Linked DNA regions of Oryzias latipes. The protein of the gene in region 1 interacts with the protein of each later gene in a pairwise test. Links are inferred from orthologs where the notes say so. Each region holds a gene or a part of one and is shown in the gene's direction. Other genes may lie near its edges.

Region 1 (9,451 bases):
TCCCACTTTAATAGTTTCGAAGTGACAAAAAAAAAGACTTTATCTTGAGAAGGGAATTCAGCAGCTATACTGTGTTCTACGATTGCACTCTTTGTAACTTTAAAACACCATCAGTTGTCTTTCTAAAAGGGATTACCTATGTGAAATGCTGTTTTAATTTGAACTGGGTAGTTCTTGTTGGTGAGAAATCTATCCAGGCTGAGAAAGTGTGTGGGTTGGTAAAATGTCACCATGTTGTTGAAGTGTCTGAATCCAACTCTTTTAAATGTTTGTTTGGACCCCAGCTTCTTACATTTTGGATATAAACCCGTAAAAACAAACAAAAAAACCCCATCTTGTTTTATCCAAATTAAACAAAGCTGTTCCCACTTTTAAATATTTTGTAACCATCTGTAATGAGTAATTATGTTAATAATATTCTGTCTGCAACTCACTCAAATGTTTTACCCTCATTAAATTAATCATTTAAAAATCATTTAAATCAGTCATCTAAATGTTTTAGACAATTTTGCATGCCCTTGTTTCAGTGTTAGGGTTACAAAGCATAAACCTAATTTTTAAAAGCAGGTGAAGTTACTGAAGATGAGTTTTCTTTTATGAAATTAGTTTTCTTCTATAAACTGAGCTCAAAAGGTGCCAGAGACACACAACTGCTCAACTAAACTGAATATTAATACGTACAGTTGTTTTTTTTGTAATTAAAGTTATATCTTCAAGTCCCAAACTTGAACCAAACAATTACTCCACCACCAGCGTGGTCAGAGTTTGGTTTCAGTTTGGCTTTATGGGAAAAAAAGAAAAAGAAAAAGATGAAATCTTTTTATTTGACCAGCAGAGGGAGCTGCAGGGCTTCTCATTTCAAATTCAGCGAAAACTGTTTTGCTGCAGAACAGAAGGATCCTCTTTTCCTGCACCACAGTCAAGTGGGCTTTATCATGTTGTGCATTGTACCAATCAGGCTGTTGTCAATATACCACTTAACCTCTCAGATGATTTTCTTTTGTTTTGAATTCAGGGTTGTAATAAAGAATAGTTGAAGAAAAATAAAATAAAATAAACGAATATATATATATATATATATATATATATATATATATATATATATATATATATATATATATATATATATATATATATATATATATATATATATATATATATATATATATATATTCACAATATATTCACAAGTGCCGGCACACTGCTGGACGGTCAGTCGATGGCCAAAGACATACATGAGATCCAAGCATTTAATATTTATACAATAATATTAAACAATAAAAGAAAAAAATAAATAATACAGACATTTCTGAAAGCTTCACAAATGCCTGCTTTTTCCAAACTGAAGGGGAACCCCCCCTTTTATTTTATATCATTTTTTTAAATCATTCATATTTTTCCAGCAGCTTTTCACACTAATTCCCTTTTAACATTTTTAAAATAAAACGTGTGCTTATAAAATTACCAAATGAAAATTCCAACTATATTTAAAGTTGTTAAAAACAGCCTTGGTCTTACAGTTTATATTTAGTTGAAGCCATTAGAATGAAAAATGTTCAAAAGATAGGAAGTTTTTTGTTGTTGCTCTGGAGATTAATCTTTTGACAAACTGTCTCTCAAAATAATAGAGAGAAAAAAATCTAGAAACAGCTACAATATGTCTTTTAATTCAGCAACAATAAAATATGACTTTCAAAATTTACAGGATTTTTGGTACAATTAAATGTTGCAGACTTTAAAAAGAAATGATCAAGAGGAAATGATAAAGTCTGAATTTACACAACCAAACTGTTATTGTTTTCTTTAGTGACCTCAATTATTTTTAAAGCAATTTTAGCAATTTTAAAGCAATCTTGTGGAATTGTTTGATTGTGGCACAATTCCACAAAACCACCATAACATCCACTTTTAAGAAAAAAAGAGCTCACATATGAGTTCATTTCAATTCAAATTTTTTGAAAATGTATACATAATGTTTTATTTTTAGTATTGCTTCGCCTCATAATCAGTCTTTTAATATTAACTTCCTATTTTTGAACTGCTCAAACAGCACATTTATTTATAAATCTATGTATACACAGTAATTATTTTAAAAACTTTTATTAGATAGACAGATAGATAGATAGACAGATATAGTACTTTATTAATCCTGAGGGAACTTGCATTTATTTCCTTTTGAGGGATCCATACAGTTTTTTCTTTGCTGTTTTAATAATACTGAGTAGAACTCTTAGGTTCCTGACTTTTTCTTCTATTTATGCAACTTCCTTCTGGCAAAAATAGACGACAAGATTGAAGACTGTCGTCACAGTCACCACTATGTCAGAGAACCTTCACAAATGCTCAAAATGCTTTCACACTGGATAACTATTTTTCCTTTGAAGATTTGTGAACTGTTTTTATATTTGGCAGTCCTGGCATCTCTTTTTTTTATTTGAAATTTTGATTTGTAATTTTTTTAGTGTCTTTTTTCTACATGAATTAAAACTGAGAAGGGGAAGTAGAAATTTACCACACTGAAATATAGCTTTTAGACTTTAATTCTTCCTTCACCATTTTAACGGTGTTAACCTTTAAACAACCCAACCAAGACATAGCAATCAAAAAATATTTGTCTATTGCCTATTGCCTTAGGTGAATATACAAACAATCGACAGTTTAAAAAAATGTGTTTTCAGAATGTGCTCCACCATTTGGTTGACCAGGAAGTTAAAGGGATAAAAATGATGGAAAAGATCCCAAAACATATTGACATTTATAAGACAGACCCACATTAATTGTCATAACAATCCAATAGATTCATTCTTGTTTTATACCAAAAATCACAAGTTGTTTAGTTTTTACTCTTCTAATCTTCACATCTGTTTAGTTTCTAAGCAAGCTCTCAGTGCTTTTTGATACTGTTAATTAAAAAAATCATTAGATGCTTTTTATCCTGTGATGTAATAATAATTGTGTCTTTTAATACAAACTATGCAGTTAGGCATATTTTATGGGCTACGCAACAGAAATAATTTAATGAAAAAGAGAAAAACTTTGAGCTATAGAGTTAGAATAGAAAAATATATGTTTTAATGTTTTTGTGTCAAGTGGCAACTTTTGTGTTGGTAACTTCAAATCTGAGCTAACAGAAATTACATGTGGGGTGGGTTCCTAAAGGCTCCATCCTGGTGTAGCATTGCCACATATGTAAATATATATTTGGGATTGTCTTTTTACTGAAAAGAAAAAAGAAAAATCAGTATTGACTTTCCTTTGTTAACCCTGGCTAATATCATCCTGTCTATATGTTTATTTCTTAGGAGTTTATGTTGAATGAATAGCAGGGCAGGTTAAACTACATTGTCAAGAGAACAAATACAAATACAAATATTGTTTTTTTTTTGTTTGTTTGTTTTGTAATACTTGGATAATTGAAGAACGTTACACTGGGTCCACTTAAATTTAATGTCTACATGCTCCCACTTGCCAAAGAATGTTAACATCAGTTACCATAGCTATGCAGATGACACACATATGTATATGTATATTGACACCAGGAGATAGAGGCCCTGCACTGCCCTCAGTAAATGCATTGAGGACATCACAGCTAAACACATCAGCTAAACAAAAAAACAAAAAAAATTAAGGTTATTGTCTTTGGGGCTAAAGAAAACAGTTGTAGGTCTGAGCTTCAATCTTTTCATCTAAAAATACCAACCAGGCTAGAAACTTGGGGGTGGTGACGAACACAGACCTACATTTTGATAAACGCATTAAGGCAGTCACAAAATCAGCCTACCATCATCTTAAAAATAATCAAGGATTAAAGTTCTAATATCTAAGCAGGACCTGGACAAATTAGTTAATGCGTTCATCTTTAGTTGACTCGGCTACTGTAACATTGTTCTGACAGGACTACCAAAAAGTCAATCATGAAGCAGCAGCTTATTCAGAAATCTGCTGCGGATTCTCACAAGGACCAAAAAGAAGACCACATTAGTCCAGTTTCACACATCTTCACACTGGCTGTCTGTGCCAGAAAATAGGCTTTAATGGTCTGTTGCTAGTTTATAAAGCTTTGAATGGTTTAGCTCCAAAATACATGGATGACCTCCAGACCCAGAATCAAAACCAAACATGGAGAAGCTGCATTCAGCCTCTCTGCTCTACAGATCTGGAACATATTTGCAGGGAGCCTTAAATCATCTGAAAAAGTTTTTTTTAAATCCAGTTTAAAGACACCTGTTCTCAGCTGCATTTGATTAGTTTGTATTCAAAAGTTTACAGCCACTGTCAATCTTACTTGAAATTCAGTTCATTTTAACTTTCTTAAATGTTAGTTATCACACCTTTCCTTTTTATTTTGTTTCTTTTAATGCATAAAGCACTTGGAATTATTTTTGTACATAAAATGTGTCATACAGATTAACTTGTCTTGCCTTGATTTCCTTGAAGTGACTCAGATTTTCCTGCAAGATTCTGTCTAGACATTAGGGAACCTGAAAGTTGACACATTTCACTGTACAGATCATGTTTCTTTCTAGTGACTACAGGTCTGACATTGGAATCAAAATGAGAAGCAGGTGCAATTTATTAAATGGAAAAAACAACAACTTTAAGAATTGAACTAAAAAAAGAAAACTCTGCAACTGTTTTTTTGCATTGATTTAGTTTTTTAATGGATCCTTTGACGGGCACTCTAAAAACTTTTCCTACATTCTTGTGTACTTTTACATTTTACAGTTCCCCCCCCCCCCCCCCCCACACACACATATATATATATATATATATATATATATATATATATATATATATATATATTTTGGCGGTTTATGTTTATCTCTGGGTTTGCTCCTTCCTCTGGGTACGTCACAGAAACGTAGGTGAGCGTCCCGCACTGCGCGTGGGCGGCCGGTGGGCGGGGCACCGACAACGTGCTTTGTGTATACACTGCAGCATCAGTCAACAGAAACCAGCGCAACAGAGTAGTTCAGCGCCACCGAGCAGCAGAAGTTCCCAATTGAACGGACTGGTGACTGTCGCAGACTCCAGAGAAAACCGTTTCTGACATGCACTTTGATAAAAGTGAGTATGATTGTGTTTTTATCCTCCCTGCAGAAAGATTTATTTAGATTAGGTTGTTTAAATCTTAAAAATGTCTTAGTTTTGTAGTATTGTTTGTTGTATTTGTTTTCTATTGTAAGGGTTTTTATTTTGTAATTCTGGATTTAATAATCTCATAGACACCTAATCCCAAAACAATAGCATTTCAAAACAACACCAAACCTCTCACTATCATATAACGCAGTATAAATATTTCCAGCAAGTTTTGAAACTGTTCATTCAGATGTTTATTGACATCACAAATTCAAAACCCGTTTTGGGAATCCCTGATGCTTCTCCACCCTTGCCTGCATGCTTTCAATTCCCCTTTTCAGTGACTGTCACTCAAGCAAGTTGTCTGATGTGAAAGTGTAACTTGTTTTACTTATGCTTTTGTCTTCTTTTTCCTATTCATTCTTGTCTTCTGCGGAACCTGCCTGAGTGATCACAGACATACGTTTTGTTGTGCACGCCGTTTCTGTTTAACCTGAAAATGAGGAAACTGGTTATGCACTGCTTCTTTCTTTTGCTGAGGATCAAACCTAAAGAGAAAGGTCATTGGAATCCCCAACCTCCCACTCACATGACTCAATGTCCAGGGGTTTCCACAGCCCTATTTACATTTTACATAGACTGGCTTCTGTGGTAAGGTTAATCTGGCCTAGACCCAGTATTGGTGCATGTTGTGGTCCCCTTTTCTCTTGGACAAGCGATAAATGCCCCCCTTTTAGCTTCTTGTTTTTATGTGGGACTATAATGTATTGTATTGAGCAACTTCTATATGTTGTGAAACTCCTCGCTGTGAAGTCATGCAGCATCGTCATCAATTTAAAGGCCAAAATAAATTAAAAAGAAAACCTCAAATGAGTAAGGATCAATTCACCTGTAGTAACACCTTCTGTGTATGAAAATGAAACTTGGCGGGACAGAAATGTCAAAAGGGATGTCATAACCTTCTTTTGTTATTGATGACCTTTATCTTTAGCTGAGGGGCATTTAATGTCACACAGAGTAGCACAAAGATGTGCTGTTTCTCACAGCGTCACACATCAAAGTGAAAAAGTTTTTATTTTATTTTGAAAAGCAGCACAGACAGAAAACAAACTCAACACTGGTGTTTTATCTGTAAATTCGTACATTTTGAGTTATATTTATATATGTATATATATATTTTTAATCTACTTCAACTTATTGTAAACCTTTGAGGACAACTTGTTCTTTTCAGCGTGTGTATAAACAGGCCAAAACTCTAAAGTGGCAAAATATCTGTCTTTGGCATGTAGGTGAACAGTAAACGCAGGGCAACATGTATTGAGGTGACAAGCTTGTGAAACACCAAAGGAAGTGGTTTGCTTTTCTGTAGCGTAACGGAGTGAGACAGGAAGGTGTCACAGAAAATCAACAGTGGCAATCCCATGCTGAAGGTTTTCTGATGAAAATGATCATGGGTTTGCACGGCCACATGTGTGTTCCTAGTGGAGAAGGTTTCTCATCGTTTTAGCTTTGTTCTCTGGTTCCAAAGAAAGGGTGGAAAGAGACCCAAGGCGTTATCTTTCACGTGTGGGGTGAACTTTTTGAGGAAACAAGACTGTGTGGTCACACTGGAAACATCAGAATTCTCTTTTGTAGCATATTTTTGTCCTTTTTTTTTTTTAATTTCCTTTACCTGTTTGGTGGAAATGATACTTTGATAAAAGAAGCGGGGAAATGATTAGGTGTTGTGAAAATGTCACAGTGGAGAAGCTTAACAATGGCACTGTTTATCAGACCTAAACCTGTTTTTACAATTTGGACCTCACATCTATCACTAAGTGGTATTGTTGACACTGAACTGTAAAAAAAGTAAAACCCAATAGATCAGGGGGGTCAAACTCATTTTCACCAAGGGCCACATAAGGACGTTGTCCTCAAAGGGCCAGATATAACTTATACATGTAACTAAATGTAATGAAAAATAAACGTAACTACTCCTCAATGTTAAATAACTTATTTATTTATTTATTAAAACTTTTTAAATGACAATTACAGTTGCATAGAAAACATTATGTTTGCTTGTTACTCTAACATAAATTCTTTTAAATGTGATTGCGTCAGGTTAGGTTATATAGACATTGTTTAAGTCCTAATGTGTAGTTGTCCAATCCGATATTTGTAGTCCAATTTCCCCTAGATATGAATAAATACACACCAATTTTTATTTTAAATTAATAGAAATTAAAATCTTTTATGCTCTCGCAGGCCATATAAAATGACAAGGCGGGCCACATTTGGCCCGCGGGCCTTGAGTTTGACACATGTGCTCTAGGTCCACGAACGTCTTCGTTTCCCTCTTCCAGCTACATTTTTTTTTGGACCGGTAATGTTATGTTGGGGTTGTTAGAGTCTGTAAGCTAGCGGGAGAGCAAGTAAACTGACTGATGAGGGGAAGTGGGAGTGGTCTTACTCTGTGCCAACACAGAACTCAGGGGTGAATTTCTAATAAACTACTGACGCTCTGCAGAAACGATGTCCTAGAAAATGACAGTTTTTTTTGTGCTAAAAGCGGCCACATTTAGCCCGCGGGCCTTGAGTTTGAACACGTGCAATAGAGGGTCACAAAGGCAGCTTTTTAAAATATTAATATGTTGATGCGTCTTAGCAAATAAAGAAAAACAAACCCTTCTATGAAAAGTAAAAGCTCGTCATCTATCTTTGTAACAGTAAAAATTTCTATTTTTTCTATTTTGAAGTGTCCTTTTTTAAATTAAAAATATATGCGTTTTAAACTGGGGCACATTTGAGGAGATAACTTAAAAAAATAAAACACCGTTTGAAAATTTTAGCTGAGCTGGCTAGAACCTTCAAAGATTTGTATCTCTGACCAGATTTTTTTTTATACTTGTGCTCTTTATTAGACATTTCTACAGACAGAAAACAGGCCAAAATGGGGCATCAATGCACTATTGAAGAAAAAATGCAGCAAAGGGGCCACTGGCTGAAAGTGACAAATGCCCACCGTGAATGAGGACAGCTTCTGCACATGCAGGGTCTATTCCGGTATCTTTAGTGTCTGATGCACAAAAAGATTATCATCTAACCTAGATTCATTGCAAAAAAGGCACATTTTGATTCTGATTATTGAAATTTTTTGAATGTACTTTTAGGAAAGCATCACCAATTGTTTAGAAAGATTACAGATTACTTTAAAGATCAAGTCTTAAGGTAAAGTTGTAGGGAAATGGTAAGAGTACCAATGTTGGTGTGGAGCATGTGTCTTAATTTAGTCAAATATAAATTTTTCATTCTTTTCCACTGTTCTTAAGATTACGTCAAACATGGCAGTTCAAGCTAGAGCACAAATCAAAAGGATAATGATTTTCAACACAAGAAAATGCACCAACTTGATCAATATGACCCTAAAGACCCACTTTGATGACAATTCTGTGCATTTCTGAGTCTTTCCTTATTTAAATCTTTGTGAATCTGACGCAGATGAAAAAAATGAAAAAGAGCGTATCTGTGACGTAAAAAATATGCTGGGCGGGCCACAAACTCCCTGTTTCCAGCTCTCAGCAACAAGGAGAGCCAACGGTCCCGCCCACATCTCAGAGGTGAATTGCTGTGAACTCCTGCCGCTCTGCAGAAACCTTGTCCTAGAAGACGTTTGATGGGCAATGGTTGATGATTTATCATTTGTACTTGACTTTCTGTTGCAGAAAGTTGTATTCTTTTAGTGTTAATCTGTTGTAACTTAAAAAGCCAAAAATCTCACAATTTTCTTACTAAAATCACGTATTCTGCTTGGTATTGTTTCTTGTTGTTAGCGCCAAAAGAGAAGCCGTGTTGCACCCTGCCCACTGTGAAGAAACTCTTGGAGCAGAAGCGAAGACGTGAGACATCTGCTGTGCAGCCCCCCTGCTCTACTGCTAACACAAGTCCTATTGCACCAGCTGTTCTCTCAGTAAGTCAGCTTTACAAAGGGCTAACCCCCATGAGCATCAAATAATTTAGAGGTTCAGAGCATTGGTTAGAATGAGTATGTTCTAATCTATTCGTGCAAGATTTGTTGGCAATTCCAGCCTCTATGTTCACCTTTGACAATTTGGAATGATTGCAGCTCATCTTTTTGCCTCTTTCCTTCTCTATAGGAGTTATCCCCACCAGAGCCATTTACCTGCACAGGTAGGAGAGCTGGACCTTCTCTTTGCAAAATGTCAAAGATAAATCCAGATATTCATTATTGTTAGCAGAATATAACATTTTAACCTCTAAAGACGCAGGTTAATATTTCAGCTAACCCTCTACACACATTGTCCCAGGACCCCAATTAAGCAAAATTAACTACTGTGGTGATATAACCCAAAATGTGATGTCAACGCATGTGGAT
Region 2 (8,770 bases), on another chromosome or scaffold:
AACATACTTTTCTGCGAACACATGCACTGGTGCAAAGATAAATTGCATCATATTTAATTTTTAATGAATAAGTAACCATTCAGTAATGTTAGAATTTTTATCCATTAACTTTTATTTTCTGGTACATCTTGGCACTTAGATAATCCAGAATGGCCGATGTTGAAAAATATTTTAAAGAAAAAACAAATGACCACTTATTAGATCCACTACTATTTCTATGTCTAAAGTTACATTGTATTTTTAAATTATAGCAACATTTATTTTTTGTGAAGCAATGTTCATTGCTATCTGGCATTTTAGCATTCAGTTGGACCATTCCACTTCCTGAAATATGGGGAACCTACTTTTTAAAATCATGTCGAAATAGGATTACATTTAAATTTTAACTAATACATAAAAACAATTTGGATCATATTGTAGGGAAAATTAAATATCGTTTTGGTTCACATAAAAAAAACCTCAATATTAAAAATAATTGTAATTAATAAGACCCCCTCCCCCCCTACACGAACCGCTGAATTTAGAAACTGCATCGTTTTCAGTACGGCTAGTGGGATCTGAGTTCCACCGATTTGTCTTGAGTGCTAGCTTAGTTTTGACTTTTATGCTGTAGTTTACTTTCATCCCCTATTGTATCACCATGTCGGTGGCGTTTGCACCTCACAGGCAGCGGAAAGGTGATATAACAGCCGCTGGAATACAGAAGGTATTGCATCTCTTTTAGCGCGTCTCTTATGGAAGCTACCAGACGTTGTTAGCAGTTGAGATTGACAGTGTTCGTCCAAGTCTAACCGCGGACAGGTCGGGAACTATGTCACACGATCAGAGCGCGGAGAATACGAAACTCTCTTCAGTCGAGACGCCATGTTTACACGAAGCGGATTTAACAGACTGTTTGCTTAAATGATGAATGGAGGCCTGCAGGTTTGTTAGCAAACGAAAGCTAGCCAAGAAGACGAGTCTTTTGTTAGCGCACGCTCTCATCTCACAAACCCGCTTTCCTTTGTTTTGAAACTGCAACAATCTCACACCAAAAATCACAAAAATAGACCCCTACACCAACGACTCACATACTACCCAGCTCTTTGTTTATATTTATCAATTGATCACAGACGTCTTTTAAATGTTAGCTTTTATTTTTTGCAGTTACTTGATGAAAACAACCACCTGATCCAGTGTATAATGGACTTCCAGAGTAAAGGAAAAACAGCAGAATGTTCACAGTAAGTCCTTTAAAAGCCTTTGTGTTGAATGGGTTTCAGATCTGTTTGTTGAGTATAATAAATACTTGTCTTTTCCCCAGGTATCAACAGATGCTTCATAGAAATTTGGTGTACTTGGCCACGATAGCAGACTCTAATCAGAACATGCAGTCTCTCCTTCCTGCTGTGAGTACTCATCCTTGCCCATAGTTATTAGTCTGTCACTTTTTTAAACTGTACATTACGGTACATGCATATGATCCCCTGTGTACTTTAGGTGTCATAGCAGCAATGATAAAATACATATAAAGTCATACATGTATTTAATGAGAGATAAAAAAAGTTATGTTTAGATGAAAAGTAGATGAAAATAACTTTAGGCTGCACACTTATGTATTCTGGTTTATTAATGTATTTTTTGTGATGACTGTAACTACTTCACATGATCCAGCTCTTTTTAGGAATTCGACTGAGGATTTTTTAGTTTATTTTATAGTCTATTTTTTTTTTTTTTAAATAGAATAAAAGAACAAATTAAAATACGCAGAGACTTACTATTGTCACTTCTGTTTTAAAGACTAATTAATAGCTCTTCATGCTAGATCATTGCTAAGGGCAAAACATTAAAAGAGCAGACAGAAGTCTTAAAACAACCACAATAATAAATGTTTTCATTGTAAGAGATTAGGTCACTTGTGTTTTTACACCTCTGCATTTAACAGTTAAAACAAGTTTTTCAGCACTCCTGTATAACTTCTTTGTTTAATTACAGAAACACGTGTTGCTCTTTGCTATAAATTAGGGGTCAGTTTATGTATTTATCCAACAGAATATAAATTCAATTTACCAAACCAAGTCCACATTTGCATAGGAGTATTTGACTAGCGTGATGTATGCCCTTCAAGTTATTCTGGTTGTTTTGTTGATGAAACATCTTTGCTTTTAAAGCTCTCCGTCATACTGAAGTTCAGTCACTTAGACATTTTTTCTTTTCAATTATTAAAAAGGCTATTTGCTACATTCCTTTAATAAAGCCAGCAAGCATCTTTGATTTCATTAAAATTATATTTTAAAAGTAATTTTAAATATCTAGTTGTCTAATATCTACTTTCACCGTATTTAAGAAAGGTTAGAGATAGTTAGAGGGAAGGCAGTTACAGTCTGACTCTGTGAGCTAAAGAGTAACTTTGGTTCTCCTTTCCCAAAGATGCATTTTCATAAAGATTTATGAATTGTTTCTTACATGCCTTAAATTTTTGAAAAGTTTGTTTTTCTTTCTGTTTTTTTTTATGCATCCACATGGCATTGTATGTGGCCACAAGCACGTTTATTAAACGAGGTTGTTTTATTTGGCAGTTGGTCAATGTGTGCCTAAATGTCTTGCTAATCATACGCACATAAGTTTACTTTTACTTGATTTAGCTTTCTTTTTTTTGTTTCTTGTGATGATATGATTTTTCCCATTGATTGGTATATTTGTTCTTTTTTTTAATGCTTTCAGCCACCCACTCAAAACATGCCTATGGGCCCTGGTGGCATGACCCAAAGCGGACCTCCTCCCCAGCCCCCACATGGTCATAATATGCCCTCTGAGGGAATGGTCAGTGTTGGCCCCCCAGCCCCCCATATGCAGAGCCAGATGAATGGACAGATGCCTGGTAAGTCACTAACTCAATATGTCCTCCTCTGTCTTTCTTTCTTTTTCTTTTTTCTCTCCCAGTTTCTGTCTTGCTCAGGTTGCTTAGCAACACCGCAGAACCAAGAGGGAGGTCTTCTGCTAAAGGATGATGTCATTCGTTGGGGTGCTGTGATGGCCTTGAACTTGATTTTGACTTGATACCTTTTTTGTTTTCTTTTTAAGCACAAAAGTATACATAAATCTAAAAAATATACACGGGTATATATTTTATTGGAACTCTTTTTCTGGGTAAAGTTTAACAGATTTTATTGGGGATCAAGTCACTCTCCTAAAAATTACTCAACCATCTTTTTATACGAATTTGATGCTGTAAATATATAGCACATGTTTTCCGTGGACTTTTTTAACTAGTTAGAGAAAAGAACTGCATCCATCAGGGTTGCTTTAAAGGTTATGTGGAATCTCTTTCAAAGGCAAAGACTTCATTTTAAAGGCAGAAAGAGCTGTTTTACTTTAAAAATAGCTTTAAGAATTTGATCGATAACTATACAACTTTTTTCTGATACGCGTTTTAATTTTTTTACAATTGCAATCCAATCTTTTGTTTGCATATTAATGTGTTTAGACTTCCAGCAGATATTTATATCATCATAAACAAAATGATTTTTCCATCTACAGATTAGAAGAAGTTTCTGTAGTTCCTTCAGTGCATTTAAAACTGGCCTAAATTAGAAGATAAAGTAAACATAATTGCTAAAATGTTCATCCATCTGTAAGTTAAACTCGCAAGAACCTTTATGAAATCAAAAAATACAAACTCTAATTATTCCAAAGTTGTAGCATTCCACTAGAATTTTTAATGTAATACGGGAAAAATGGTCATTTCCATTAAGTTTTTATTAGAATAAATCAAACCAAAATCAGGCCACAGAAAAGTTATGTGTAAATTACTGTTTCACTCAATGTTCTTGACCTTCCATAACTATTTTGTGCTTCTTTTTTTTCTTTCAGGTCCTAATCACATGCCCATGCAAGGACCCGGTCCAGGCCCCAACCAGCCTCCAAACATGTCCAGTGGTTCCATGAACATGCCCCCCAGCAGTCATGGCTCCATGGGGGGTTACAATCATGCTGTCCCATCCTCTCAGGGGATGCCGGTTCAGAGCCAAATGAGTATGACCCAAGGCCAGCCAATGGGAAACTATGGACCTCGACCAAACATAAACATGCAGCCAAGTCAAGGTGAAGCAAGTTTTCCTGTCTTGCAATCCGTGGAGTTTTATTGATTTCTGTTGCGTCTTGCTGTGCGGGACTGGTGTTTGTGTATTAAGTTTAGCGCTGTTATCTATTATGGGTCTATTATAGGGAGATATCTAACTCATTTTGGGGTAATTCCAGGTCCGATGATGCATCAGCAGCCTCCGTCACAGCAGTACAACATGCCTCCAGGTAGTGGTGGACAGCACTACCAAGGACAACAGAACCCTATGGGTATGATGGGTCAGGTCAACCAGGGGAACCACGTCATGGGACAGAGGCCAATGCCCCCCTACAGACCCCCACAGCAAGGTATAAAGCTGTTAGTGGTCTTATGCATGGAAGTTTTGAAGTCCGATCTTCCCTGGAACCCTCCTCCTTCATCTCCCATTCTTTCTCTTCTCAATTTACCTTTCTTGTGGAGTTCACATACACCTTGATGCACCCTGAAGCATCAAGTCTTTTTAGATCCTAAGAGAACACGTCTCTCTAGAGCTCATGGCAGGGAGTCCATCCTCTCTACCCCACCCCCACATAAACCCATACCAACGACACCTTGAATCTACTTGTGTGTATGTTGTGTGTATGTAGGACCCCCTCAGCAGTACCCAGGACAGGAAGACTACTATGGGGACCAGTACAGTCACGCAGGCCAGGGAGCCTCAGAAGGTAGGTGAACCCACCAACCTCTGGGAAAGAAAGGCGATGCATCAGCCCAAAACTCATCAGTTTCTTGATGACTTTCTGGGGAAGCCAAATGTTTAGGGAATATGGCATTTTTTTAAGAATTCCCCAAAATTGGTCATTTCACACTAGAATCACAGCAGAAGCCTATTATGGTACAGTATTCCCCCCTTATTCGCGGGGGTAAGGAACCAGAGACATCCGTGAATACGGAGAACCCCCCCACCCCTGTGGCTGGAGAATGTCCGTCACCAATCCTTACTCATTAAAAACCCTTCTGAAACTTTTCTGATGCTTCGTAAAACATTTATTAAAAAGCACTGAAATATTGCTCAGCATAAAGATTTTTTTTTACATTATTCAGAGCAATAGACTGACCACAGCGTACTTTATAATGCACTCCAGCCCCTTCTTTGGACGCAAAAGTCTTATACAAGCGTCTTGAGCTGAGATTTTGTGATGAACTGGAGTGCTAATAGTGAAACGCGAATACACGGGGGAACACTGTATACGAAACTCTTTTCTGTCTTTGTTCAATTAACATTCCCTTTTTTTTCCTCTACTGACTCTCCGTTTCTCTACAGCCTTTCAGAGTCAGATGTTTTTAAAACTAAAAACAAAACTCTTGACCTGTTTTTGTTTATTTGTTGTCTATATTCTGTGATCTCCTCTGTGAAGCTGAAACACTACAGCTAGAATATACAGATATTATGGTAGTAATGTCATAAAATAATATGCAATGTAAGTGGTATTTTACTTGTTTGACTATGTACTTATTTTATGACCTCATGTATTATTTGACTCAAAGTAAAAAAATAAATAAAAAAAAGGTTATATTAGCATCTCCTATTTTTAGATTTTCTTTTTTTTTATTCAAATTCCATAAAATCGCTTTAAAGTTGCTTTGTATACCCCTGCATGAGTGTATCTTCATCACTGTACCCTCTCTGACTTGAAGGTAATGCCCAGTATGGCCAGCAGCAGGAAGCATACCAGCAAGGCCCCCCTCAGCAGCAGGGTTATCCTCCACAGCAGCAGTACCCAGGTCAGCAGGGCTACCCGCCACAACAACAAGCTTACGGTGAGTCCATTCAGAAACCCAGAAAGCCACAATGTCCCACTGGAATGCAGATGGGTGAAATAACCAAACAGTGAACATGTCTTGACATAATCAAATATTGAGGAGATTGGAGCTTAGTGGAAAAATAAATCATTAGTGCTTGTTTTAGCATGTCAGTTTACTTTAAAAACTATTCTTCAGGAATCAGAGGACCGCTTACTGATTTCAAAACAATTTTTTGTAAACTCTAAAATTCAGAGCCAGTCCAGATAAACTAACATTTGGGATTTTTCAGATGTTTTTGCTCTAAGGATCTTTTAGAACTAATGCCATCAACAACAACAAATAAAACATTTATTCTAAAGGTCCGCAACTACATTATTATTATATCTTTTTTTTTTGCAGAATTAAGAGGCACATTTTTTTTTTAAATACTGCATAAACAAACCTTAAACAGTTTTCTCTAAGAATAGAGCCTTATTTTACTTCAAACTCTTCAGGTTTTACTTAGTTTTCCTATAATTAGTTTAGTGTCTTAACAAAAATATTAAACCACAAATAGACTTGTTGTTAGTTCTCTAATATGTAACAGCGTTTAATAAATCTAAGTGAATGATGGACAGATCCAAGCTAATAATAGAGAATGTAATAAAGAATACATTTTTAATAGAGTATGTAATAAATCCTTACGAAATAGTAGGTTTTACAGACAAACTTGAAATGTTTCCTGGTAAATCTCTCTGGAGTATCGGTAACACCTGCCCTTGTAAGTGGACATGGGCTGTCTGAGGGCAAAAAAATGGGCAAACCTGAAGGGGGCATGCAGATGGTAGACTGCTCCATGAGCCCATATCAAGAAAATGTTCATGCACATGTGTTTCTGTAGGCCTGATGCGGGCGACTGGTCATAGGGAAGAGTTGCACAACTCATATTTAAGTAAGGGGGAAGTTGGTGAGATGCGTCTATTCAAACCACCCCTACGTTGGTTAGTGTGTGCTCCTTACGAGCAGCCTGCCTGCTCCAAATGAGAAAATGAAACAATTATGCGAGTGTCCTATTTGTATTTACATATCACCAGCACACCTTTGCGTGCAGCGTTTGCGTGCGGTTAGTAAGGAGCCAGGACGCGCACCTTGCTGAAGACTAGAGTGCGGGGTTAGGTCGCTCTAAGTGTGTGGAACTTGCATTATCCTTACAAAAACTTGACAGTACACTTCCCAACACGCAGGGAAATCGTACATTCCGCTCTCATGACATCCCTTAAGATGGCCTCAGGACACACATGTGCTCGCCTTAAGACGCAGCCGCTCCTCTCTACGATCCTCCATCGCCCTGGATAGCCTGTTGCACCTGTACGCGTCAATAGGCTATCCGGGTTTAAGCATTTACTTAAAAAAAACAAAAAAAAGAGTATAGAAATAAACATGATTTAATCAGGATCTGATATCATTTGAAGTGTGGGTTTACTTGCAGGAGCTCTTAAGGGATTTCTCTTTGTGGCAGTTTTCTCTAGAACTTTCTGTCAGTTGCCCTCTTTGTGAGCCAGAGCTGTAGTTATTAATGAGCCAGCTGAGATGCCGAGGCTGTGAGGTGAGATCCATCTGGCACATACACACGCCTGCTCTCTCAGGCTCCCACAAGGTTATGCACAGCAGCATAAGGCATTAGGAGGGCCTAACGATGCTGCGTGGGCCTCATTTGACTTCCACCCAAGTCTAGTTTGCTCGGTCCTTCACAGTATCGGCAAAGATGGCTCCTGTGTACAGAGCTGGATTATAAATAGGTCTCTCTCTCTCTTTATACATATATACATATTTATTTTCTTTAGCTTGTTTTTTTTTTTATGTGTAACTGCTCCCTGACCTCAGTGTGACTCATTTGGTTGCATCCATAACTTGCTAACATGTTTCAGAAGCAGCCTAGGCAAATATTTGATATTCTTCTGTCGGTTGATCCTTGCTATAAAGCAGTGCTTCTCAAATAGTGGGACACGCCGATGCGATGCCAGGAGGGGCGCGCGGTAGTGGCGGTTTTAGGCACAGGTAATACGGGCAAATGTCCGGGGCGCAAATTTAACATGGGGGTGGTGACGACAGCGGCTCAGTGCGAGGAAAAAATCTGCGCCACTATTCGGTTCCTATTGTCTGTTAAATCACACACAGAGTTTGTAACAGCCTGAAACTTTTGAATCCCCGTCCCTGCAGCTGCGCGCTCCCGTCTCCTGTCACACGCGTGTGTGAGAACGAAAGGGGAGGGGTAGTAGGCTCAGGCTGCCAGGTGAAATGGGGCACGCGGAGAGCTGCAAGCACTGCCTGGATTAGCACCACCAGGATCATCACATGCTTTTAGATTACTCAGTTCATGCTAATAATGTCATCCTTCATTAACTGTTATAGATATTTTGATGACATCTTTATTTTTCATAAATGTATTTTTTGTCTGCCTGTCGTTTAGTTGGTGTCAGTATTTGAAATAAAGACAGCAGGTAATGCAGGAAAACCGCTGCACTTTATGAGATCATAAATAAACAATCCATCATTTAGAAAAACATCAGCACAATGTTTTTATCTATCTCTACAGACTAAAAAGGTTAAATATATTGGTGCTGCTCTGTTAATGTTTCAGATCAATTTACATTTAATATTATTGATTGACTAAATTATTTTTCTCAGCATCAAATGGTTCAGTTGGTCAGAATGTTTCTATTTTAAATAAGGACTGATAGATTTTTTTATTTCAGGCACTTTAAGCTTTTTTCTTTTAGACTATAACTGGGTTTCTGTGGCTAAATAAAGTCAATATTTGTTGAAAATTATTTTTATTGCTTTTTTTCTTTTGTTAGTGTTAAAAGATACAACTTTAGGGATACTTACACACATTTTATAGATACTAACCTAATATATTGTCACTTGGGTCAATTTCTCACT

What was found.
Region 2: the proteins of nfkbid (region 1) and ss18 interact in a two-hybrid assay, tested with the Homo sapiens proteins (2 studies listed by BioGRID and IntAct). The two-hybrid records come from large-scale screens. The link is inferred for Oryzias latipes from reciprocal best matches to the Homo sapiens genes NFKBID and SS18.

Annotation. Positions count from the first base shown.
Region 1 is NC_019874.2:15,536,565-15,546,015, reverse strand, and holds the start of nfkbid (NF-kappa-B inhibitor delta), read left to right. Parts: upstream 1-4,951; 5' UTR 4,952-5,051; coding exon 5,052-5,067; intron 5,068-8,888; coding exon 8,889-9,025; intron 9,026-9,212; coding exon 9,213-9,246; intron 9,247-9,451. UniProt on the Homo sapiens protein: Regulates the expression of IL-2, IL-6, and other cytokines through regulation on NF-kappa-B activity. Functions in the regulation of inflammatory responses.
Region 2 is NC_019875.2:25,753,906-25,762,675, reverse strand, and holds the start of ss18 (protein SSXT), read left to right. Parts: upstream 1-512; 5' UTR 513-640; coding exon 641-706; intron 707-793; exon of another isoform or gene 794-903; coding exon of another isoform or gene 904-924; intron 925-1,146; coding exon 1,147-1,223; intron 1,224-1,303; coding exon 1,304-1,388; intron 1,389-2,703; coding exon 2,704-2,860; intron 2,861-3,852; coding exon 3,853-4,083; intron 4,084-4,239; coding exon 4,240-4,410; intron 4,411-4,689; coding exon 4,690-4,767; intron 4,768-5,740; coding exon 5,741-5,863; intron 5,864-8,770. UniProt on the Homo sapiens protein: Appears to function synergistically with RBM14 as a transcriptional coactivator. Isoform 1 and isoform 2 function in nuclear receptor coactivation. Isoform 1 and isoform 2 function in general transcriptional coactivation.